3 linked regions of the Alligator mississippiensis genome follow. The protein of the gene in region 1 purifies or fractionates together with the protein of each later gene. This does not show direct contact. Links are inferred from orthologs where the notes say so. Each region holds a gene or a part of one and is shown on either strand. Other genes may lie near its edges.

What was found.
Region 2: the proteins of L3MBTL2 (region 1) and LIN54 purify together in Homo sapiens (affinity purification with mass spectrometry; 3 studies listed by BioGRID and IntAct, counting the BioPlex papers as one, with this or other methods). This does not show direct contact. The link is inferred for Alligator mississippiensis from reciprocal best matches to the Homo sapiens genes L3MBTL2 and LIN54.
Region 3: the proteins of L3MBTL2 (region 1) and MGA purify together in Homo sapiens (affinity purification with mass spectrometry; 3 studies listed by BioGRID and IntAct, counting the BioPlex papers as one, with this or other methods). This does not show direct contact. The link is inferred for Alligator mississippiensis from reciprocal best matches to the Homo sapiens genes L3MBTL2 and MGA.

The regions. Positions count from the first base shown.
Region 1 is NC_081827.1:97,502,400-97,510,441, forward strand, and holds the start of L3MBTL2 (lethal(3)malignant brain tumor-like protein 2), read right to left. Parts: upstream 3,121-8,042; 5' UTR 3,020-3,120; coding exon of another isoform or gene 2,990-3,019; intron 1,506-2,989; 5' UTR 1,481-1,505; coding exon 1,421-1,480; intron 1-1,420. UniProt on the Homo sapiens protein: Putative Polycomb group (PcG) protein. PcG proteins maintain the transcriptionally repressive state of genes, probably via a modification of chromatin, rendering it heritably changed in its expressibility.
Region 2 is NC_081825.1:146,549,110-146,557,395, forward strand, and holds the start of LIN54 (protein lin-54 homolog), read right to left. Parts: upstream 3,107-8,286; 5' UTR 2,378-3,106; intron 1-2,377. Other genes in the region: COPS4 (COP9 signalosome complex subunit 4), read left to right, coding at 3,664-3,755. UniProt on the Homo sapiens protein: Component of the DREAM complex, a multiprotein complex that can both act as a transcription activator or repressor depending on the context. In G0 phase, the complex binds to more than 800 promoters and is required for repression of E2F target genes.
Region 3 is NC_081825.1:239,075,195-239,082,856, forward strand, and holds the start of MGA (MAX gene-associated protein), read right to left. Parts: upstream 3,182-7,662; 5' UTR 2,677-3,181; intron 1-2,676. UniProt on the Homo sapiens protein: Functions as a dual-specificity transcription factor, regulating the expression of both MAX-network and T-box family target genes. Functions as a repressor or an activator.

The sequences.
Region 1 (8,042 bases):
TGGGACGGGGGCAGCTTGCTGCGGAGCCATGATTTGTAGCCTGCACGCTCTGTGCAGAGGCACACATCCAGGGGATCGTGGCTCTGCCCCAGCTCCTTGCAGCAGGCTACAGATCGCAGCTCCGCAGCAAGCTGCCCCCATCCCACGTTCCTGGCAGCAATGGAGCAGCCCCCTGTGCTGTCTGCCGCATACGCTGCTGGCGTGAGAGGTCTCCATAAAGACCGGTACAAGCCATCTGGGCAGGGGCAGCTGGGAAATGGAGTCCCTGGCTGATTGGATCCAGCCCACAGGCCGGACGTTCCCCATCCCTGCCTTATGCAGTAAAGCCTGGCCCTCAGGAGCAAGTCACTGGCTGTGGCAATCACAGGATACCAGGACCAGACCCTTGAGCCAGCACTAGCTTCCCTGGTAGGAAGAATTCCCACCAGCTCCACATTTCCTTAATGTTTTACCCCTCATACACATCTCTCCCAGACGAAAAGAAGATTCATAGTCACAGAAGGGCAACCACAGGAAAGACACTGGAAGCAGAGAGCAGGAGGCAGACCAATGGCTTATAGCTGCAGCAAAGTAGGTTTAGATTAAATATCAGGAAGAATTACTTCATTGTTAAAGCACTGAGGCAGTAAAATAGACTATCTAGGGAATTGTGGGATCTCCATCATTGGAGGTTTTCAAGAGTTTGGATAAGCATGAATCAGGAACAATCTAGAAATAGCTATGCCTATGCTCGTTATGGTTATTTCCCATGTTTCTGGGCTTCACTGGTTACTGCATGAAGCCAGGAAGGAATTTATTTCCCCACTTCTGTTGCTACTGCACCTGTTCAGGGAATTTTCTTTTTGCCTTCCTCACAAGCATAAGGAAGTGGCTGCAGCCAAGGCTTGGGATTTTGACTTGGGTGTACCAATGCTCCTACTGGGACTAATAAATAGTTGGAGGTTCCTCACTAGAGGGTCTTGCCCCTCCACACCAGGCCAGACCAATGATCACATTTGGGATCAGGAAGGAATTTTATCCCATGGCCTGACTGGCATGGGCTGGGGGAGTTCTGGCCTTCCTCTGTAGCAGGCGCGTGGCCCTCTTCCTAGGATCTCTTGAGCATGTTAACAACCCTTGCAACAGGACACTGGACCACCCTTGTTCCCCTGCGCTACCTGTGGCAGGTTAAGGTGCTGTGCATTGTGGTTGTGCAACAGGGTTGTGTACTTCTAGTAACAGGTTAGACAAGGATTTGTACCAGATGGTTTGGATAGGGCAGGGGGTTGGACTAGAAGACCTTCAGAGGTCCCATCCAGCCTTACTTTTCTATGATTCTGTGACCCAGGAGCAAGAAGCCAGAATGCCTGAAACCATCCTGAGTGGGGAGGGGTCAGTATGAATTCATAGGGAAGGAGAGAGACCACCCCTTTTCACTCACTTTCCTGTCCAGTGGTTGGTCTTCTTCACACCCACTAGAAAACATTTTTTGTGCTGTCATCAGGGTGGCCCAGCAGGGAGAGGAGCTGTCAGCACAAATGATCTATTTCAGTAACTAGCTGCTGCTCTCCATGCTATTTAACCCTCCCCAATACAGCTTGGGACACAGTGGATCAAAAAATGGCCTTGAAGCAAGGAGGTGCATTTTCTAACAAAGTAAAAGCTGTACACTCTATTACCATCACATTCCCTGGGCTGACTTTGGCTCAGGAGCTGCACTGGAAAACCAGACAACTTTCATTTTCAAGTATTAAATAAGTATCAGTCAAAGTCCTTTTCCCCCTGTGATTTCATCATGATCTATTTGTACAGCTATATCCATACAGCAAAGAGATGCAAGAGTACAGGGACAGCAAATCAGGGGATGCACAAAAGGCCTGTCTTTAAGATGGAGGGGAGAAGGAAGAGTGATTAGCTGTGCTTTGGACACAGATTAAGGAAGTTAGGAGATATGCTGTTGCCAAGAGCTCATGCACAGACACTGAGGCTCAGCAATGAGAGGGGCAAGGGAGAGAAGAGCAGAAGCACAGACATGCAGTCACAGGGAGAAAGGAGCTCACAGCAGCAGCAGCCAGCAAGGAAACATCACCACCAGTCAGCACTGCCAGCAGCCCTACTGCTCTGCACCCACGAGATCTCTCTCCTGTGCGGTGCTTGCAGTGGCATGAGATTTTCTTTAGCGCTGGTCATTGAGCCCGGGCATCTTTCTGCCGCCCAGAGGAGCAAGAGCAGAACAGCCACAGAACACAGGGCCTGCTGTGTGTTCAGATGAAAGCTGGATAGAAACCAGCTATGGAGCTGTCAAGCACTACCCTGGGAGCAGGTTGGCTCTTTCACATCAGGAGACTGGAGCTCTGCCTGCCTATCTGGCCCCAGGCATGGCACCAGAAGCTTTTCAGAGGTCCTGGACTTCAATCTCTTACCTAGCTGCCTAAGTTTAGGTCCCAGGACCTCCCTGCTACCCTTATCCACATGTTGGTGCCCACATGGACCCAAGAGACTGGGCAAAGATACAGTATGCAGGACCCTGGGCAAGATGTCTGACCCAGTAAGTGGCTGGTCTTATAGGATGGCCATTTTGATGGCATAAGTGTTACTTTGCACCACATTTATTGTGCAGTTTGCCCATCATCTGTGTCACACATGTAAAGGGGAGCAGGGGCCCCGTGCACGGATCCATCTCCTAGTGCCAGTTGTTTGCACCCAAGGCTCGTCCTGCGCAGCCCCAGGAGAGGGCTCCTGCCCCCCGCAGCCAGGACCTCCCAGACGCGGGGGAAGCCCAGGGCTCCCAAGGGCCTCGCTGGGCCTGTCGGGGAAGAACCCCGGGGGGGCGGGTTCCGCCGTGGCATTGTGACGCAGGGCTCCACGCTCCGCCCCCCCACGGGACCGTGGAATCTCCGCGGCAGCGATTGTGACGCAGGGCTCCACGCCCCGCCCCCCGGGGAGTCCCGCGCTCCTTCCAAGGGGGCCCGAGCCCATCCCCAGCCCCGGCCCCGTGGCCGCCCCTTACTTCGCCCTGCTCCTGCTCCGTGGCCGCCATCGCCGGGATCCTGCGCCCCGAGCGCTCCCCACCCTGCCAGGCCCGGCCCGCTGCACTCACATGGCGGGACCTCGGGCCCCCTTAGCTTTACTGTCCCCAATACATCGGGGCAGCTGGTTGGCCGCCGGCCCCCGCGCGCCCGCCAATCGCCAGGCAGATTGCTTTGCAAACGCCGACAGCGGAAGGAACGCTCAGTCTGGCCGCACAACATCCTGGGACTCGTAGTTTGCTTCCCTGCGCGGCGTGGGGGAGAGCGTCAAGGCTGCCCCGTGCCGCAGGCTGCTAGCTTCCGGGCTCTGGCCCCGCCCCCTCCAGCTCTTGCGGGGCCTGCGCGGTCGGCCACTGCTCCAGGCTGCAAGGTGCGGGCTTGAGCTGTGAGGCGGGGTGCGAGCACGGGGCGGCGCTAGGGAGCGCAGCACCTCCAGCCCTTAGAAGCCTGCAGACCATGAAGCCCCCCTCCCCTCCCTTCCCCTCACATGGGATGAGGGCCCTGGCGCCCCGGAGCAGTGGTTCTCAGCCGGCTTTGTACCAGGACCCACTTGTAAACATGCATGGCCAGGCCCGACCCAGCGCCCCTCACTCTGGACCCGCTGCCCCCCCACTGTGTAGGGTGGCTGGGGAGGGGGGCAAGTAGCCCCTTGCTGGCTGGATCTCTGCCAGCCTGCAAGGGAAAAAAATCCATGGTGTCCCATGTTTTTTTCTCCTTTGAAGGAGACTCCGTTTTTAAAGTCTGTTTGCAACCCTTTCTTGCAACCCGCTTTTGGGTTGTGACTGGTGGGTTGAGAAATGAGCCAAGCCCAGTCCTGCAGCCGTGGTGGTGTTCAGCAAAGCTGGAGAGACGAAGGGCCTGAGGCAAAGCCACCAGTGTGAGAGGCCCCGTGGGGCAGCTTACCTGTTTTCTCTTCTGTGCCCCCCCCCAAAAAAAACACCCTTTTCTTTTCTTTAAGAGGTTAGTGCTGCACAGGCCAGCACTATGGCTAGGAGTAGGAGGCAGCAGCAGCTAACTGCAGCCTGCAGGAAGACATCAAGTTAACTCCTTGAGCAGAGAGTCATCTTTAGTCTCAAGTCAGGCCAAAGGCAGAGCAGAGGTGTACTTTATATGCAAAGATGCAAGGCCTACCCCTTTTCTACTCAGAGCTTTCATGAAATCAAGCTCACTCCATCAGATACTATGACAGGACAGAAGAAAGCTATGTAGGAAGGAATGAGTGATTTGAATTCAAGAAGGGTATGCCTTATATCCCAACTAAGATGCAGCTATTTTAGACGCACACACACACAGATGTACACACATACAGAAGAAGGGACCTCCAGAGATCATTTAGGCCAACCCCTTGCCTGAGGCAGGATCATCTGTATCCAACTATCCCATACGATCCAAAATCTAAACTCCATATACACAAGACTACTGTCAGTCCTGACCCAACACCCTAACCAGCCCCAGGTAAAGCAGGGGAACCACAGCAGCGAACATCCCATTTTCATGAAATATCTATATATGCTTAAGGGCTCCTAGGTAGAGGGCCAGAGCCATGTCCCCTTCTTCAGCGATCCATCGCAGTCAAGGACAGCTGTCTTCCATTAATATCTCATCTGTGGGTCTGAAGATGGCCAATGCAGGATCAACAGACTGTCACAACTCAGGCATGTGTTTCTGCATGGGGTAGGTGGCTCCAGATTCTTGATTGTCTGTGATGCACTGTTTCTGCGACTCCCACTTTTCCATCTCCTGTTGTCATAAGGTTTCAAAGTATTGAGATTCTTGCAGCAAACTCTTCCTCCATTTGGGGAGGTCCTAGGCAATAGTTTCCCCATGAGCTGCTGCTAATGTTGCATTTTTTCCAAGTTGGCCTTGAGGACATCCTTCAAGCACTTTCTCTGCCCTCCTTTTGAGCATATGCCTTGACTGAGCTCAGAGAATAAAACTTGCTTTGGGAATTAAGTGTCAGACATCCAAATTATGTGGCTGGCCCAACAAAGTTTGTGTCAGATGATCATCACTTCAGTACTCATAGTATTTGCTTGCGAGAGGATGCCAGAAAATGTTGGTGCGGTCCATCTTCCCACTGGATTTGAAGGATCTTCTGCAGGCAGCATTGATTATATTTCTCCAATGACTTGAGGAGTCTCCTCTACATTGTCCACACAAGTCTCAGCTCTGTACAAAAAAGGTGGGGATCATAACTGATTGATAAACCATGAGCTTGGTTTTGGATCTGATGACACAGTCTTTGCACGCCTGTTTCCTTAAGTGCATCCAAAGGCTGCATTTGCACATTTGAGGTGATGTTGGATTTCTTTCATGTCAACCTCCTGTGACAAGAAATACAGGAGGTTGACATGAAAATGCTTCTGGGGTACAGGAAATACTCAACATTCTCAAGAGTTTCACCATGAATCTGAATTACTATTAAGAGCTTGTTGTTGGACGACCTTAGTCTTTTGAATGCTAAGCTTCAGTCCCACTTTCTTGTATGCCTCTGTAATGATGTTGACAATTGCCTGAAGGTCTGCTTCCGAGAGAGCGCAGACTATAGCATCAGCAGCATGCTGCAGCTTGAGGATTAAGCTCGATTGGTCTTGGTTTTGGCTCAGAGTTGTCTGGGATTAAAAACAGTTTACCATCCATTTGGTAGTTTAGCTCTACTCTGGCTGGAAGCTTGGTGGTAGTCAGATGTAGCATCATGACAAGGAATAAATCAAGAACAGTGTTGGAGTGATGATGCAGCCTTGCTTAACTCCCATCTTAACCTCAAGCAGTGATAGATCCGTTACTGAAAACCACTCATGTAGCGGGCAAAGAAGGGTGATGAATTTCAGTGGGATCTCAGAAGGATCCTCCATAGCACTTCTTGGTTGACAGAGCTGAAGGCTTTTGTGAGGTCAAAGAAGGCCATGTAGATAGGTTTATGTTGTTCCCAGCATTTTTCCTGCAGCTGGTGAGCTGTGAAGATCATATCAGTTGTGCTTTTTAATGCCCTAAATCCACACTGAGATTCCAGGAGGAGCTCTTCATCAAGTGGAAGGAAACAGTTCAGGAGGGTTCTTGCAATAAGCTTTCCTGTGGTGGATAGCAAGGTGATCCCTCTGTAGTTTCCATAGTCAGACCTGTCACCTTTCTTGTCATGATCATGGTAGTCCTAAGGTCACCTGGCACTTCATCTTAAAGATTTGGAATGGTGAGGAAGGCATGGAGCTGTGACGTGAGCGCCTCTCTGCCCCTGTCCCCCAACCCCTGCTTGAAGATTTCAGCAGGGATTCTATCAACTCCAGTGGCCTGCTTGATGAATTTCCTCACCTCATCAAGGGTTGGAGGGATTCCAAGATACTCTTTGACTGGGTGTTGTGGGATGGAGTGGAGAACACCTCTCATCAACAACAGTGTCTTAATTGAGGAGGTCTTCAAAATGCTCCTTCCAATGGGCACTGATGGCTCCCCATTCCTTGATCAGGTCTCTTCCAATCTTAGGTCTCAAAGGGTTTGGTCCTTGAGTGCTCAGACTGTAGATAGCTTTGGGTCACATTAAAAATAACCACGTATCTTGTGGATACCAGCAAGATGTTAAATCTCCTTTGCCTGGTGTTCCCACCATCTGTTCTTTGTATTGTAGGTACTCCTTTGGACCTCTGCCTTGCCTTGCTAGAGATTCAATTTATTTTGCTTGGAGGTTTTTTTCCGCCCCATAGATTTCATAGACATTAGGGCTGGAAGGGACCTCGGAAGATCAATCGAGTCCAGCCCCCTGCCCAGGGGCAGGAAGTCAGCTGAGGTCATAGGATCCCAGCAAGATAAGAATCCAAATTTCTCTTGAAGGTGTTCAATGTAAGTGTTTGAACCACTTCCGATGGCAGGCTAGTCCAGACCTTGGGGGCTCAGACAGTAAAGAAATTCTTCCTTATGTCCAGCCTGAAACGGTCTTGCAGTAGTTTATAACCGTTTGACCTCGTCATCCCTTGGGGCGCTCTGGTGAACAAACTTTCCCCCAGATACTGGTGGTCACCCCTGATAAACTTATAGGTGGCCATCAGATTACCCCCGAGCCTCCACTTTTCCAGGCTAAAGAGCCCCATACCTCTCAGCCTGTCATCGTAAGGTCTGTTTTCCTGACCTCTCATCATGCACGTGGCTTTCCTATGCACTCTCTCAAGCTTCTTCACATCCTGTTTGAATTGTGGAGCCCAAAACTGGACACAGTACTCCAGCTGCGGCCTCACCAAGGCTGAATATAAGGGGAGAATGACATCCCAGGATTTGCTTGAGAAGCATCTATGGATACAAGCCAGCGTTTTGGTCGCTTTACTAGCCGCAGCATCACATTGAAGCCTTATGTTCATCTTGTGGTCAATCATGACCCCCAAGTCTCACTGCCGAGCCTATAAGGATGCTGCAGGTTTTTCCTCCCAAGGTGAAGAACCTTGCATTTTTTCAATGTTAAACACCATCAGGTTCTCGTCCACCCATTTGCTGAGCCTGTCCAGGTCAGCCTGGATCGCCCTCCTGTCTTCAGGTGTGGATACTTTGCCCCAAAGTTTGGCATCATCGGCAAACTTGGCCAGTCCGCTTCTGACTCCAATGTCCACATCATTAAATGAAGATGTTGAACAATATGGGTCCAAGGACAGAGCCTTGGGGGATCCCCACTGGTCACAGGGCATCATGACGATTGACTTCCGTCAACCACCACCCTCTGGGTCTGACCACGGAGCCAATTTCCCAGCCAGCAGATTGTGGTGGACCCAAGGCCACAATTGGCCAGTTTCACCAAGAGGTGATCATGGGATGCCAGATCAAAGGCTTTTTTGAAGTCAAGATATAGGACAGCAATCTCTTCTCCCTTGTCCAAGTGATAGGTCACCTGGTTGTAGAAGGAAATGAGATTGGTCAAGCAAGACCTATCCACAACAAACCCATGCTGGCTATCCCTCAGGATGTTGGTGTTGGCCAGTCCATTAAGGACGGCCTCTTTAATAAACTTTTCTAAGACCTTCCCTGGAATAGAGGTCAAGCTGATGGGCCTGTAGT
Region 2 (8,286 bases), on another chromosome or scaffold:
TTTAACATTAAAAAAAAAAAAATGTTGAGAATCACTGTTCTGGAGCCAAGTACAAATTTTCCAACAAAACAGTTTTTTCACAGGAAGGGAGGCACCGATTAAAAGAAACAAAAACTTTTTGGCAGTAGCATTAGTTTTTACAAGGAGTTTAGCAGAAAGTTCTTTCAGGTTCAGAACAGAACTAGAAATGCCATGCCAGAACAGTTGATAGCCCAATGACTAGGATTTATATTTGGGGATGTTGAAGATGTATTCAGAACCCTGTAGACAGCAGTGAATCCCATCAATTCCACACAGCTGCTGAGCAGAACTACCAACAGCAGCTGAGACAGACTGAGTTATTCAGATGAGGACCTCCCAGAAAACAAAGGGTAGGAATGAAATAGAATAGAGATTCTCTTCTCCTGTTTCTCATGGGCTGCTGAAACAAATTAAAACAACCCCCAGAAGTTCTTCTCTGTAGATATTTACATGGTTCCTGTCAGTATAATGTATTAATATTTGGGAAGAGCTAATAAATGCATTAACTCCAGCAGGGAAAGGTTAAGTGACCACCCTAAAGTCACACACACCTGAAACAAAACCAGGAGTTAAGGGCTACAAAGAGATCTGAATTTAACTCTGAGATGATCCTTCAACAGATAAAGATTAAATAGCTTGATGAAGCTCTTTCATAAACAGTGCAAGTCACATTCTAATCCAAGAACTGGAGCAAAAGACTGAGTCTGTTGTCAGAAACCAGGGACATCCTCCAGGTACAAATCCAAGAGTTTCTCTCTTTCCCAGCTTTCATGTCTACCCTTGGGCTAATAAGATTGGTAGAATTTTCAAGCACCATTTCAACTGCAACAGATATTAACCACTAATAAGGAAAAATTTTGATCAGTCTAAGCTGGTACGACAAACATGTTTAAGGGTTGAGAGGAAGTTACTGAAATTTGTTATAATGCAAGAATCGAAAATAGAGGGGGGAAATACTGACATCTGTAATATACGTAGTCAAACATAACTTTGATGGAGCAAAGTATTAAAGCCTAAAAAAATTAATGTATTATTCAAACAAACATCCCACCATTCTTGAACGCCCAGTTCCATTCCATTCTTAATGGGTTCATAGAATGCATTCATCACTATAGCATGTAAACACATTCTGGTAATGTTAAGCAATTTACCTAATAAGAGTCACTTGTTGCTAGTTCCTGTATCATGTTCAGCAGGAATTTGAACTCTCAAATAGTTCATTGTATCCTAAACAGTACTTATGAACATCACAGAGACCAACAGACTTAACATCTCTAATACTACTTGAGCCTGGACAGAAAGTTTTAACCCTCAATGTGTAAGATGACAAGAGAAAGCAGCATGCATTTCAGTGTTTTCCTCCTGTTCAGACTACTGTCTAGCAGCTGTTTCACGTGGCCTATAAGTGCAATTCCTCATGAAACTGCATCATTCCTGATGCCCCAAAACAAAAAGGTATTATTTCACATGCAGAGATATGCAGGCTCAAGGAAGAGTTCCACCTTTGAAAGAAAAACAAACAGTCAGAAATCCACATGTATCAAAGGATTCCAGATTGAAAGGATTCAGTTTGAAAATAAACACACACACACAAAAAACTTGCTTTCACCAAGGGCAAAGTCCATGCCAAGTATGACATTTTAGACATTATAAGGAAAATTTCCTTAAAAAATGACATGTAAAAGGCTTTCATTCAAAAGATATTTTCCAGAAAGTCACATAAATATCTGACAGTTTGGTCTCGGAGCCAACATGAGCTCTCACTTTTACTGTATAGTAGAAGTGTATTATAACACCCAACGCATTTCAGAAGCACAGAGTAACGCACAGATACAATGAGACCAAAGTACATTATAATCATGCTATCCTGTTTTGTTAGGGCTATAATTTGGAGCCTGATCCTGCAAAGTGCTGGGCAATGGGGAATTATGGGTGCTTAGCACTGCCGAGTCTTTGCCACACGCTGGAAACAGAGTTGAAACCTGGCTAGGTGCCATGTGCACAAAACCCAAGAATGCCACCTGTGATGCTGTGGATTAACAGCATACACTCAGCTCCCTACACAAGGGAAGCAATATAGCCAGTCCCTGCCAGCACCATACTTCCTACTCAAGAGGAGCCATACACCCAATCCCCATCAGGGTTTTTTTTGGGGGGGTAATTCAGTATATGTAGCTGGGCCCCCTACTCACTATGGCAAACTCACTTTACCTCCTTCTCCTTCTGAAGCCTGTTACCCCTGCAGAGCTACAGCCAGCCTCCAAAGGCAAGAAGAAGAGAAAAAAGACTGCCCTCTGATAAAAATACCAACCCATCCAGCAGGCTTCAACACAAGCCGCTGCTTAGCTTTACTCACCTGCCAGCAGGACAACGAGCAGCAGGAGGGGATGGGGCAAGTCGGAACAGGGCTTGAAAGACCCAATGCTCAATGGGAGCAGGGCACTGCCAGCAACCACCCTGCACCGAGGCAAAGCAGAGGCCCCCTGCCCCAGAGGCGGCGACGGGTACAAGGCACTGGGCCCAACACAAGTAGTGGCCCAGCCTGGGCCGCTAGCACCCCGGTTCCACGGCCCAGCCCGGCGCAGGCTCCTCCTGCCCGTTACTCTCGGTTGCAGTGAGGGGTCCCGGGCAGCGGCTGCTCCGTCAGGGCCCGGGACTGGATTTCGAAAGATCCGCCATTTTCACCTCGTCACCGCCGCCACCGCCCCGCCCCGGGCCTGGGGGCGGGGAGAGGGAGCCCGCCACAGCGGGCGGCGGCACAACAGCCCCCGCGCGCCCCCCCATGACCTTGATGAGGGTCGCAGGGAGAGAATTGGGGCGAGTGAGTGAGTGAGTGTCCCCACAACCGCCCGCTGTCCGGAGAGCGCAAGAGAGAAGCCGCCGGGGGGTGTCCCGGCACGGCGGAGCCGGGGCGGCTTCTCCTCGCCCTTCGCACCGGCCCTGGCGGGAGCCCAGAGCAACCTCCCGGCAGCGACGGAGCCAGAGCAGCCCGCAGCGCCCCCCAGCTCCGCACGGACGTGACAGCGGTGCAGCGCGCGGGACCCGACGCCGCTGCCCGCGGACGAGCGGCGCGGAGAGGCCGACAGCAGCCGCCTCGCCTCCAGGAGCCGCAGCTGGGCTCGACCCAGGGCAGGGAGGACCCGGGCCGGCCCCTGCAGCCCAATGCCGGGCGGGAAGCGGCTGCGTCGGCGGCGCACGTAGGCCGAGTTCTCCCTCCCCCCCGCGCTGCGCGTCCCCCACGGTCCTCCCGCGCTGTCACTCACCAGGCGGGCGCGGCCGCCCCGCCCCCGGCCCGCGCCGCGCCGCGCCCCCCCTGCCCCGTGCGGCGGCAGCACCAGGGACCGGCTCCGCGTTTGTTCAAAATCACGCGCCCCGCGCCATTCCACCGCCACATCCCATAATACTGAGCCGCGCCGCCCTGGCAACCGGCCCCGCGTCACCCAACCAGCGCGCACGCGCAGCCCCTGCCCCCTCCCACTCCCACTTCCCTTAAGCCTGGACGCTTCCTTCCGGCGGTGGCTGCTACTGCTGCTCTTGCTTCCAATACCTCCGGCCGCTTCCGGGCTCATGACGGCATCACGCTGGCACGTGACCTGATAGCGCCCGGCGGCTCCGGACTAAAGGCCAAGGCTACGCGCGGAGATGGGGGCGCGGAGGCGGTTGCGCATGCGCCCGGCGCGGTCCTGGGACGATTCCCCCCCCCCCCCGACCGGGCAGTGGGTTCAGGGCGGTGGGTGCGTTTCTCTCACGCAAGCACGTACTCGCTCTCCTCTCCTGTGGCTTGCTTGATCCTTGGTGCGTCTTGTGCTGTGGGCCCCCTCCTGGTCAGGTAGCCGGTGGTGTCAGCAAATGATGCCCTGGGGGCTAGTCCGGAAGATAAGCATCCCTGTAATGTTTGAGTACCCGCGGGTATGGCGTTCACTGACAAAGGGAGCATGGAAATCCGTATCTACAGGCCTAGGCAGACAAGATTCTTTGGATAAATCCCGTATCTTTTATTAGACCAACTCAAATAGTTGGACAAATTCTTCTTAGCACTCAGGCACAAACACCCTTCATCAGGCTGACAAAGCATCTGCAGATAGTCTGTTCTTCCTGGATGGAGTGGCCTATGGCTGCTTTACCACTCCATCCAGGAAGAGCACAGACCATCTGCAGGCACTTCCTCAGCCTGACAAAAGGTGTTTGTGCCTGAAAGCTTGTTAAGCAGAATTTTTCCAATTATTTGAGTTGGTCTAATATAAGATACATGGGATTTAGGCAGACAAAATTCTTTGGGTATGTCCTTAGACCAACAGCTACAACCTACACCCTTATTTACAGACAGGCTCAGAGTAGTCTATAGCAAGATAAAGTCTGTTGGGAAGGACAGCATGTAAATCCTATATACATTTATACATATATATGCATTTATATGTGCATCTATCTATCATGATTCATGCATGTGCGTGTGGATTTGTGTGCATATGTGGATTTGTGTGTTTAGATTGCATCTTTTATGTATTTAGAGATATATGCCAGGCTTGGCATTCAGCAGTGCCACTTGCAGCAGACAGGGCCAGGCTTGGTGCTTGGCTGGTGCAGCCCCATCCCATGAGCCCAGTGCTGTTTGCAGGGGATGAGGACAGGGACAGGGCTGCGCTTGGCTGTGGTGGCCATCCCCTGTGGCTGGGCTCCCCACTCACAGGGGATGAGGCAGTGCCAGCTGAGTGGTGAGCCCAGGCCAGCCCCTGTCCTGTGAGCATTGCCAGGCTCAAGTGACACCATGGGCTGCACCACAGGGGATGGGGCTGTGCCAGTAGAGCGATAAGCCTAGCCCCAATTCATACACTGTGCCTATGAAAATCCTTACCTTTCAGATCGGAAAGCCTTGCGTCAACCTACAGTGTGTTGGCCTATCCACCGTGAAATGCAGTAATTATTTTTGACACATGTCGCAGGGCACCTCGGTGCTCCTGCTCCTAAAGAGGAGAAACTGCCAGGGAGAGAGAGAGAACCCTGGCAGGACCTAAAGAGCCAGCTGCGGGTTACCGGGGCAACTAAGGGGAGCCAGCTGCCTGTAGGAGGCAGGGCCTGGCCCTTATAAACCCCAGGGCTAAGGCCAGGCTGGCAGTTCCCTGCTAGCAGTCAGAGGGGCAGAAGCTCCTGGAGCTAGGAGCTGAGCAATGTAGGAACTGCTCTAGCTGAGAGAAGGATGGCAGCTCTGAGAGGTTTGAGCACCATGGTTTAGCCAGGAGGCTTTATGTTTGAGTTATAGCCAGGAGGCTCGAGTTTATGTTCGGCTTTGATATTAAACCGGAGGTTTGGGTGAGGCTGTAAGGGTTGGAGGAGGCCTCATAGGGGTGGGGTGCCCCAGCGCCAGTTAGGGCGCAGTCTAGGGCCAAGAGGGTGCATTATCCTCATAGGGACCCCAGAGAGTGTGGGGACCCCAGCACCTGAGGAGGGCACAGTGTCCTCATAAAGGGCCCCATGGGAGTGTGGGGGCCCCAGTGCCTGAGTGAGGGCACAGTACTTTAAGGGGGAACCCCAGTGGTATGGGGACCCCAGCGCCAGTGAAGGCGCAACTGGCGGCAAGGAGCGCAACTAGTGGGTTGCAGGTGGGGAACAGAGACCCTGGGTTGTGTGCGGGGTACGTAGACCCCAGCCCCGGAGAGGGGCAGCTTTGAGAGGCCCCAGTGTGGGCATGACGAGCCCCAGAAGGGGGCACTGCTAGGAAGCCCTAGCGTAGATGTGGCGAGCCCCAGAAAGGGGGAGCGCACTCTAGAGGAGCCCAGCGTGGGCCCAGCGAGTCCCCGAGAAAGGGGGGGACTATTGAGAAGCCCAAGGTGGGCATGGCGAGCCCTGAAGAGGGGGAGTGCCATATTAGGAAGCCCAGGACGGGCACAGCAGACGCCAGCAAGGGCGTCACTTGCGGGGTGCATAGACCCCAGCCCCAGGGAGGGGCATTTTTAAGAGCCCAGGCTGGGTGTAGAGAGCCCCAAACAGGGGGCGGTATTAGTGAGGAGCCCAGAGGGGCACAGCGAGCCCCGGAGAGGGGGCGGTATTATTGAGGGGCCCAAGACAGGCGTAGTGAGCACGGCCGTAGGCTAGTGCGGCAACAGCCCTCAGACAGGGGCAGGGTGCTGCGATGGACCCCGACAGAAGGGGGTTAGTAGTACGATGCCCCAAGAGAAAGGCAAGGTGCTGCGGTGGTTCCCGGAGAAAGGGGATAGCAGTGCGGTGAGCCGGGATCAGAGAGGGTAGCTGTGCGGTTGGCCTAAAGGACCGGAGACCCGCTAGAGGGTCCCTGAGCAGGACCACACTTTTAGAGAAGGCCCAGAGTGGGTCTCAAGAGTCCCAGTGAGGGGCACTGTATTAGAGAGAGCCCAGGAAGGGGCACTAGTAGAGAAACACATGGAGAAGGCCCAAGAGTGGGCTAGATTACAGGAGAGGACCCGAGGAAGCAGGCGTGTATTGCGACCGGACAACGTCTTTCCCATCAGCGAGGCTTGAGGCGTTGGTATTAGGGGTGGTAGGAGCCACGCGTAGCCCATAAGGCTAGGGTGCCTGGGGAGCACCCATTACACCGGGAGACCCCCAGGGGGGGTCCAGGAACACACAAGGACAGAGGTCCCGAGTAGCTGTGCCCAGGGAGTCATAGGCAGCCTCCCAACTATATACAAACATCAAAGACGTGGCAGGCGAGAATTAGAGGGTGCCTTGGGCCGGCCTTGACATGGAGCGAGGGCCGTGATCTCCTCGAGGTCCCTCCTGCAGGACCCCACCATGACAACACACTACAAAACTTTATAACTCTTTTGAAATAGAAGTAAATGTCTAAGGTTGCAAAAGCAATCAAAGCTTGGCATGACCTGAGTGTCCTATCCTGCAAAAGTAAGACGGCTTTATTTTTTTAATGGAATACTAACTAAAATAATTTAAGCAAAGTGTCTCTAAGCATACTGGATTAAAATCTTTCTTTGAAGCATTTGCAAGTCAAGTGTTGCAAAAAGAGGGTTTTCTATTTGTGCAGGAAAATAAATGAAACCTCCTAGTTTTATTATCCCAGAAGAAAACCAGCTGCATGTGAACACACTTTAATGCAAATGTTTATACCTATTGGAATATTTGAAGTGGGTGTTCAGCATTTCCAGAAGGCAAATCATTTATAATTTAATACCTGGCTTCAAGCACCCATATTAGAACATGTTGGCCTGCAAACACTGTTGTTGTTATTGCTGTCATTTTTATTATTTTCCACAGGTTACATCTTTGGCATCCTTTTGTCTATGGCAGACAGTGGATATTGCAGCCTATGATGTAGCTGGTTTGCAGTGTCTCACGTGACTGAACAGTCCAATCTGAGATTTGTGTGATCTGTGGCAGCAGTTACAAATGTATATGTTATGGTTGGGTGGTTCGGGAGCTGCTTGCTTCCTACTGGCTCTTTTCTCTTCAAGTTGTTGGAGCCAATTTCTGTTGTGGACTTTGATGCCCTGGTGGAGACAACGATGCCACTTGTTCCCATCACTTGCCAAGGTTTCCTACTGGTCAGGATCAATTCCAAATGCCTTCATATCTCACTTGCATGTATCTTCGTAGCAAAGCTTGGGACCAGCACCGTATCTAGACACCTGGCAGCCCCAGGCAAACTTTTAGTATTGGGCCCCGCTTCACCAGAGATGATGATGATAACAATAAAAAAATTACCATGTCTAAGTCCCCAGTTTGCTGGTGCCTGTGTCCAGTCCCGCTTGCGACATCCTGCTATTCCTGTTCCCTCCAACAGTTCCCTGTATAGCATGATCTTGGGTGTGCGTCCATCTTCCAATCTGCTCAGATGGCCTACCCAGAGTAGTTATCTGTGTTTGAGCAGAGTTGTCACGCTTGGTAAACCAGCCACAGGTACTCGTCTGTAAGTGAGGCCAATTGGGATCTGCTTTGGAGGTGCAGAAAATACCGATTCTTCCACAGAAACGGCTGCGGAAGGGAAGGGAGTGATTAGCAGTCCCCTTGTCCACCTTGTTATTGACTTGAAATCAGTTCAAGCGGGTGGGCCGGAGCGCGGGCTGGGCTTTGCTCCTGCTGCATCAAGTCCCAGGTGCAGCCACAGCAGGGTCGTGGTGGCGCAGCACCAGGTAACGCTGCCCACGCCTACCCTGACACGTGAGAAGACAAAAACCAGCCCTTGCACTGAAGCCCCTGACCGCTGCCCGCCGGCCCTACGCCAGCGCTCACAGCCGGCTGCTCCGCGGGGCCCTAGCGCCCCTCGCAGGGACCAGCTTC
Region 3 (7,662 bases), on another chromosome or scaffold:
AGAGTCCCTAAAACCCAGAGGGCCTGCTATAAGGATGAACAGAGCACAGACCTGACACACGTGTTCAAAAGTGTGAGACCAGACTTGGGGAGCCATGAGGCAGCCTCCCACTTTCTAAAAGATAAATACATCAAGGTGTGGCAGGAAAGTGAAAAGGGAAATTGCTCAAAGAGAGCAAAGTTGATAAGGGCTGAGAGGGCTTCCAGGGGATCATGCTACCTGGAACGGGAGTCTGTTACAGAGATTAACAGAAAAATAGCTCACTGGTATTGAGGACCAAGTAACCATTCAACAAACTGTTGCTGTAGAGTAATAAACTCAAGCCCACTCAAAAAACCCTCCCCCCCCCCACCAAAAAAAAGGCTTTGGTAGGCTCTCTCTCTACCACTCCTTAGCTGATGGGAAGAGAGACTATACCTTGTTAGTGTGATTGGAAAAAAACCTGGAAAAGCAGTCTTTTCATGAAAGCCCTAAGCTGGTGTCAAGAGATGAGAACTGTACTTTCTTCTTCCTCATCATCATCACTGATTTATTCCTTTTAATTTCAGAGCAGTCATTTCCACATCTGTGTTTCTCCTTCTATTAAACAGAGATAATGAGGTGTAGTGTTTGCAAAGCACTTGCAGATCACTAGATGGAAGGCTTTCAGGAAGGGTAAAGAATTACTCTTGAAAGATGTGTCAGATTAGGACACCGTTCCAACATAGGACAGTTTAATTCAGCTCTCCCCTGTTGCTCTACTCCTCACCTCCAAAATTGGCTTTTTTGGAGGTAGGGGTTCTTGCGATGGACAGCAGATTCTTTTCTACCAGAAACACTTCATTTATTTTCTCCTTGTCTAGCCCTCACTTTCTGATCTTCTCTGTTCCTTTTCCTTGCTGTTTTTGGGTGTTCCTCTTTTTATTTTCTTCATTTTCCTTAATTCATTTCCATACATTTCCTTCCAAAGCTCAACTCAGAAAAAATGAACATGATTCTAAGGGTTGGACTACCCAGAAAATTCACAATCACAGGAACATGATAGTTCAAGACAATGAGGGGCCAACTTTTTTGGCAGGGCTACCACAAATTAAGCCCTGTGCTCTCCTTATGTGCCATTCTGATCTCTTTTCCCCCTACTTGTGCTGCTGCTCTGCTTTAAGCTCCCTGCCCTATTGGCTGTGTGCTGCCTGCTCCCTCCTGATCTGGAGGGTGCCATACACAGAGGCTGCCCATGCCACGAACTGGCCACCTCTGGTCCAAGACATGCCACCCCCCACTCTTTGCTTATCCCTCAAAATTTTATGGATAGACTACACCTAATCATCACTTGTGACTTTTTTGTGACGTAACTTAATAAGAACATCCACCCCAAATACAGTTATAAAATTGACCCAAGAAAGAAAAAGTAGATAGAATCATTGGAAATGAGGGTGGAAAGAACCTCAGGAGGACATCTAGTCCAACCCTCTGGGGCTCAAAGCAGGACCATCCCCAATTAGATCATCCCAGCCAAGGCTTTGTCTAGCCAGGTCTTAAAATCCTTCAAGGATGGAGGTTCCACCACCTCTCTGGGTGACCTGTTTCAGTGTTTTACTACCCTCCTAGTGAGAAAATTCTTCCTAATATTTAACTTAAACTCTCCTTGCTACAACTTGAGACCATTGCTCCTTGTTCTGTCATCTGCCACCACTGAGAACAATCTAGCTTTAGCCTCTTTCAAACCCCCCTTCAGGTAGTTGAAGGCTGCTATGAAATCCCCTCTCCATCATGGTTAAGAGTTAAGTATCTAGTCCTGTATGTGCAAGATTCATGGTTAAAAAAAAAAAAAACAACCTAAAAAAGAACAAGGTGCAGGTGATCCTAGTACAGTCTGTGCCAGCCCCTGAGTGCCTTCGAGGAGGCAAGAAAGCCTCCTTGTTGGACTTGCTTCCCGCTGACTAGGCACAAATCCTGCACAGAAGAGCTCTAGGTGCCACTGCGTGGGGAGGAGGGGGAATCCCCACCGACAACTACTGTTCCCAGATCCCTGCCCTTCCCCACGGCGAGGGAAAAGGAAGGGACAGGAGCAGGGCAGCAAGCTCCGGTGGAGCCGCCCCGCGTTGCCGGAGGCGGACCCACCCCCGCGCTGCTGCGTGGCGGCCACACCCCTGGCTCCAGCCTCTGCAAGGGAAGCAGCAGGGGGCGGCGAGAAAGCTGCTGGAACGGCGCCCAGGCGGGGCGGAGCCGCCGCACGAGCCGAGACCGAGGCCGAGGCCGTGTCGGGGAGCGCTGCCCGCGAGGCGCGTGAGGGCGGCCCCGGGCGCTCAGGCTCAAGCGAGGCTGCCAGTCCTGCCCGGTCGCCTACGCCGCGAAGCCCCGCGGCCCGGAGCGACTCCTGGCATAGCCACTTCCCGGGGTCGAGCCCACCCCCGCAATGCCCGGATACGGCGCCGCTCCAGCCCCTTGTCCGCCCCCGCCTGGGCGCCCGTCACGTGACCGCCGGCCCCCTGCTCGCGAGAGGAGAAGGCGGGGCAGGCCCGGCCCATCCCGTGGCCTCAAGCGCGGCGCGGGCAGGCTCCCGGCTGCGGTCACGTGTGATTGGGCCGCCGCGGTCACGTGACGCGCACACTGCACGGCGCCTCCTCGAATAAAACTTCAAAATGGGGGAGGAATGGGCTGGGCTGGGCTGGGCCGGGCCCCGCCGCCAGCACCTACCTGCTTCCCGCCGCCGGCTCCACGCGGCGCCGATCCGCCACGCGGCCCGCTCGCAGCGCTGGAGACCCTCGCGTGCTGCGCGCCGCCGCCCGCTCTCCTCATTGGCTGCCAGGTCCGTCACGTGGCCCGCCCCCGGGACCCCGCCCCCACACCGCGGGGTGCCGACGCGACGCAGCGGCCGGGCGGGAGGAAGCAGGCGGCGGTGACCGGCCGGCGGGCCGCGAGGCAAGGGGCTCCGGGCGCGCGGGCAGGCTGGCCTCGCGACGCCCTGGAGAGCGCGCTCCTGATTGGCTGTGCAGCTGCGTGACGTGCGTTCCGGCCCTCAGATTGGCCACGCCCTTCCTGCCCTTCCCCCGCCCTTCGCGCGAGGGAAACACGCTGTTCTCGAGTGGGCCGAGTAGGCGCGCGCTCCTCATTGGGTGGCTGCGGCTGCGCCTTCTCGCTCCCCCTCCCCCTCCCCATGAGCGTTGCGTGGGGGCGGCGAAGAAGTAGCACCGAAGCCTCTGACCCTCCTGTCCCGTCTGAAAGCGGCACAGCCCTCCCGCCGGGCAGGGGCACTGCGCACGCGCCGGCCGCCCATTGCCGGCCTGACACGGCCCCGCAGCACCTTTCCGCACTGAGCCCCCCCCCCCAGGCAAGAAGCCTCCTGCCATGCCAGAGCCGACAAGATGGCAGCCGTGGGGCAGACACCTGTACCCACTGACACAGCCACTTGCGTGTGTGGCGTCAGCACTCAAAAGGGCCTGTTTCATAAGAAGAATGAATAATCCAGAGAGGCCAGTGTCCAACAGCAAACCCTGGCGTGGCCCAAGCCACAGGCAGCCTCTCCACAAGCTGCACCAGCTCAGCAAGCAGAGGCGCCATTTGCATTGACTCTCTGGCATAAGTGTCCAGGGCGACATTTGTTCTCCGAGACAAAGAACTTCTTAAACACGGGCTGGTTCACGTATGACCAGTCACTTCCATGGAAGAATTGCGTGGATAGACCAGATACCCGTCATTGTGTCTTTTGAGCGTTTTAGCGGATTATTTTTGTAGCCAGAGAACTAAGTGGCAAAGGTTACAAGATACAGGATGAAAAAAAGAAGAAAATGCCCACTATATCCAACACAACCAATTAAATGAAGACTTCTTGGTATAAAGAATGCTTTAAGAAATGTCGGGTATCCACTAGCCATATTGATATAAAGGAAAAAGCAATCAGATTTCATGGTAGAGGTGATATCTTTTATTCGACCAACAAGATTTTTGCAAAAATTCTGTAACTGCAATTAAAGACAAATTTTGTGCAAAAATCTTGTTCGTCTAATAAAAGCTATCACCTCTACCATGAGCCCTGATTGCTTTTTAACCATTTCTTAGCATTTCATTGAAGATTACACCCAGCTTATGTTCGCATATAAGTGCGAGGAAGCTCAAAATTACTACTTACTAATAAATCCTGGCATTTTTTGAGCAAAAAATGTAATGGCAAAGTGATTATCATATGTCTAAAATGGAAATAAGACCAGTTTCATTATATTAATTAGCAATGTCTTTAGTTGTGAAACAGACCTACTGACAGGAAAACCTGGAGATAGGACAAGCTGTCTTCACCACTATTTGTCATTGCAGTCAATGGAAATCACTTTCAGACATCCAGGTGTTACATGGAAGGAAGAACACATGTTCAAATTTCTTAAAACGTGGGCATAATTAAGAAAGGGGTTTTCAATAAGGATATTTAGAAACTCATTTCTCTTTGCCTTTGTTTGACATATGTTGTTGTTGGGAGTCCTTCGATATGAGGATGAGAGTCTTCCAATAAATAGGGAAGCAATCAATGAGTCTGTAGGTGATTGAGGAAGCTGATCTGAGATCCACATGTTCACCTGTAGACATGGCAAATAGGTCTGAGAGGAAGGAGTATTCCTGGTGATGTCAGGTCACAGCTCTTTGCCTTTGTCTCTCTCATCCATCCACTTCCATAGCGTGGCAAGTTTGCTTAAAATGATTGATGCCTTGTACATCGCAGTGACACTGGTGACAGTTTAGTACTTGAGTCCCCAGGGTGTTGATGTTAATATAGCATTTCTTCAGATTAGCTTTTACAGGGTCTTTAGATGCATCTACACAAGATGCTACATCACAGTTGTTACTGCGCATTTATTTAGTATTTATTAGCAAGTACTAAATAAATGCACAATAACTGGAGTTACTGCGCAGTAGCACCGGCAAAAATGTTTTAGGTGACACTACTGCACAGTAGACTAATAATACTGTGCAGTAGCGTATTAGTACTGTCTGTGCTGTCATGAATGACTGGTGCCTCCTGAGAGTGGGGGTACCATTTGTAGGTGGCAGCAGGGACTGCCCGCAGACACCGGCAGAGGTGTCAGTGGTAGCGAGTGGGGACCGCCCACAGATGCCGGTGGCAGTAGGGGGGAGGGGTGGCGAGTGGGAACTGCCCGCAGCTGCATTGGTTGCGAGTGGGGGGCAGGTGGCGAGTGGCAATCTGCCTCAGAAGCCATCGGCAGCTTTGGCGGCGGCCAGTCTTGGAGGGCACATGCCCCGTGTGCCCTCCCTACATATCACCTAGCTACTGCGCGGTCAGCATCTCATGTAGACATGCCCCTTGAATCACTTCTTTTGCCCACCTCTAAAGCAGTGACCATCGGTGAGTTGGGAGTATAATCCTTGTTTTGGGAGCCGGTTGTCAGGAATCCTTATAACATGTCCGGTCCAAGGGAGTTGGTGTTGCATAAATGTGGCTTAAATGCTGGCAGTGTTTGCATGAGCAGAACGCTGCCATTTGTTCTTCTGTTCTTCCAGCTGATATGGAGGATTTCCAAAGACATGGCTGATGGTAATGCTGTATAAAAAAAATTAATAAAATATGTAAAAAAGGGTAGAGTGCATTAAAAACCATGGAGAAAATTCCAGAGGTAACCAACATCACAAGTACAGCCTAATGCATGCTTGCATTAAAAGCCTTACAGTCTCATTTCAGCATTTTTGATAACTAATTGAAAAGATGGGTCTGTTTATATTGGAATACTATTATATTTAGATGATAAATTAAGGAAACTTTCTTGTTATGAAAAAACTACCATATCCTGAGCTAAATAAACTTAAATGCCAAATGATGCATTTTTCTATAGGCACCCAAACCTAAAACACCTATATACCTGCTTAACTCTATACCCATGAGGAATCTCATTGGCTTCAGCAGGACTACTCATGCATAAAGTTAAGTCTGTTTTTTAAGCATTTGCAGGTCAGAGACCATAGTTATTAGTCGATTAACGAGAAACAGATGCCTGTTATTCATGTACTATGATGTCTAATAATTACAGGCCATATCTTCAACACAAGAAAATATATAAGAATGATATATTCTATATTGTGAATTATATATTTATTTTTGTTCTTACAATATATATTTATACATAAAAATAGAATGCTGTATAGCAAGTAAGGAAAAAAGATTTAAAAATCTGCAAAATTCTAGTGGAAACAGAATTATGAGTAAGAAGCAACATGGTTTTATAACCAATAAATCATACCAGACAAACTCAATTCCTTTTCTAAGAATGAAGATCAATGGGCAAAGAGAATGCTATTTCTCTATCCTGATTTTAGTGAAACATTTTATCATCTTGCTAAATCTTACCTCAGCACTATTTCAAATTGGACTGGCCACAAGCAAGATCACATGGAATGAAAGCTAGCTAGAAAACATGAAAAGTGATGACAGAGGGTACTGAGTTCTAAGAAAGTGTCTGTGGTTCTGGGATAAATTTTCAAAAGTCACTATGACACAGTTGTGAAAGATATTTAGATGTTTGGCTTCAACCTTCCATTGAAATGAATGGGAGTCAGGGTTCTAATACCTTTGAGGAGCCTACCTTAGGAGCCTGAATCACAAATTTTCAAAGGTGACTTATGTACCTAGTGGTTGCTTTAAGAAAACTGGCCTTTAAATTCCATTTCACTCCCAATATGGGACTTTAGTACCTTTGAAAATTGAACGTTGGCTCCTAAATCACTGAGACGCTTTCAGAAAAAAATTCCGTAGCCTATACTATAAATACAGCTGGGTCAGGAAATATAGCTGTAACACGTTGCCTAAACTAGCTGTATGCGTTGTTTAAACATTTCGTATAGACTGGACCTTTACTGGGTTTAGCAATCAGGTTAACATCTTGGAGGCACCTCTGACTTCAGCCTGGTTAAAGAGCTTCAGAGGCTTTAGTCCAGACTGGGTGCATCTACACGTGTGCTTTACTGCAGTTATACTAATTAGCTCTGCAGTAAAGCATCACTATCTGGACGTGCACCGGTGTTAGAGCACAGTAAATAAGTTAACTCTGCGATAAGATAGTACTGTTGGGGACACTACTATTTCATAGTGCAGTTACTTGCTCTGCCAAAAGGCACATGTAGGTGGTGATGGGCTGGCTGGGGCATGGGGATGCTAAAGTGCAGGGGGCTGCCTGACACTTAGCCCCTCATTTTAGAACCCTCATACCCCAGCCAGCACTTCTGCCTCCCGATGCTGCCACCCAGAGCCTAGGGCTGACCCGCCATGTCCCTGCCAACTCTGCCCCAGCTCAAAGTGCTGCTGTCCCAGGCACACGTGGACGCTTTGCCTGGGAGCAGTATACTATGGTGCAAAGTGTGCCAGAGTTTATTTGTTTGCATTAATTGCATGTGTAGATGTACCTGCTGAGTGCTACATTTTTGGAGCTTTTAACTTTTCCTGTATTGCAAATTGGAGTCTTGTTTGTAACTAGGTTAAGAAAAAGATATCCAGATCTAACCAGTTCTTTGACACAACTGCATCTGTAGTATAAATGGAGCCTATTCCACAGGGAATAGATGTTAAACTCAATTTTATTTAACTCATATTTTATGTTATCAGGAAGAGCAGGGGAAATAGCATATTAATTACATTCACAGATTATGTTGAACTGGAAAGAGCTGCAAACCCCCAAAAGGACAGAA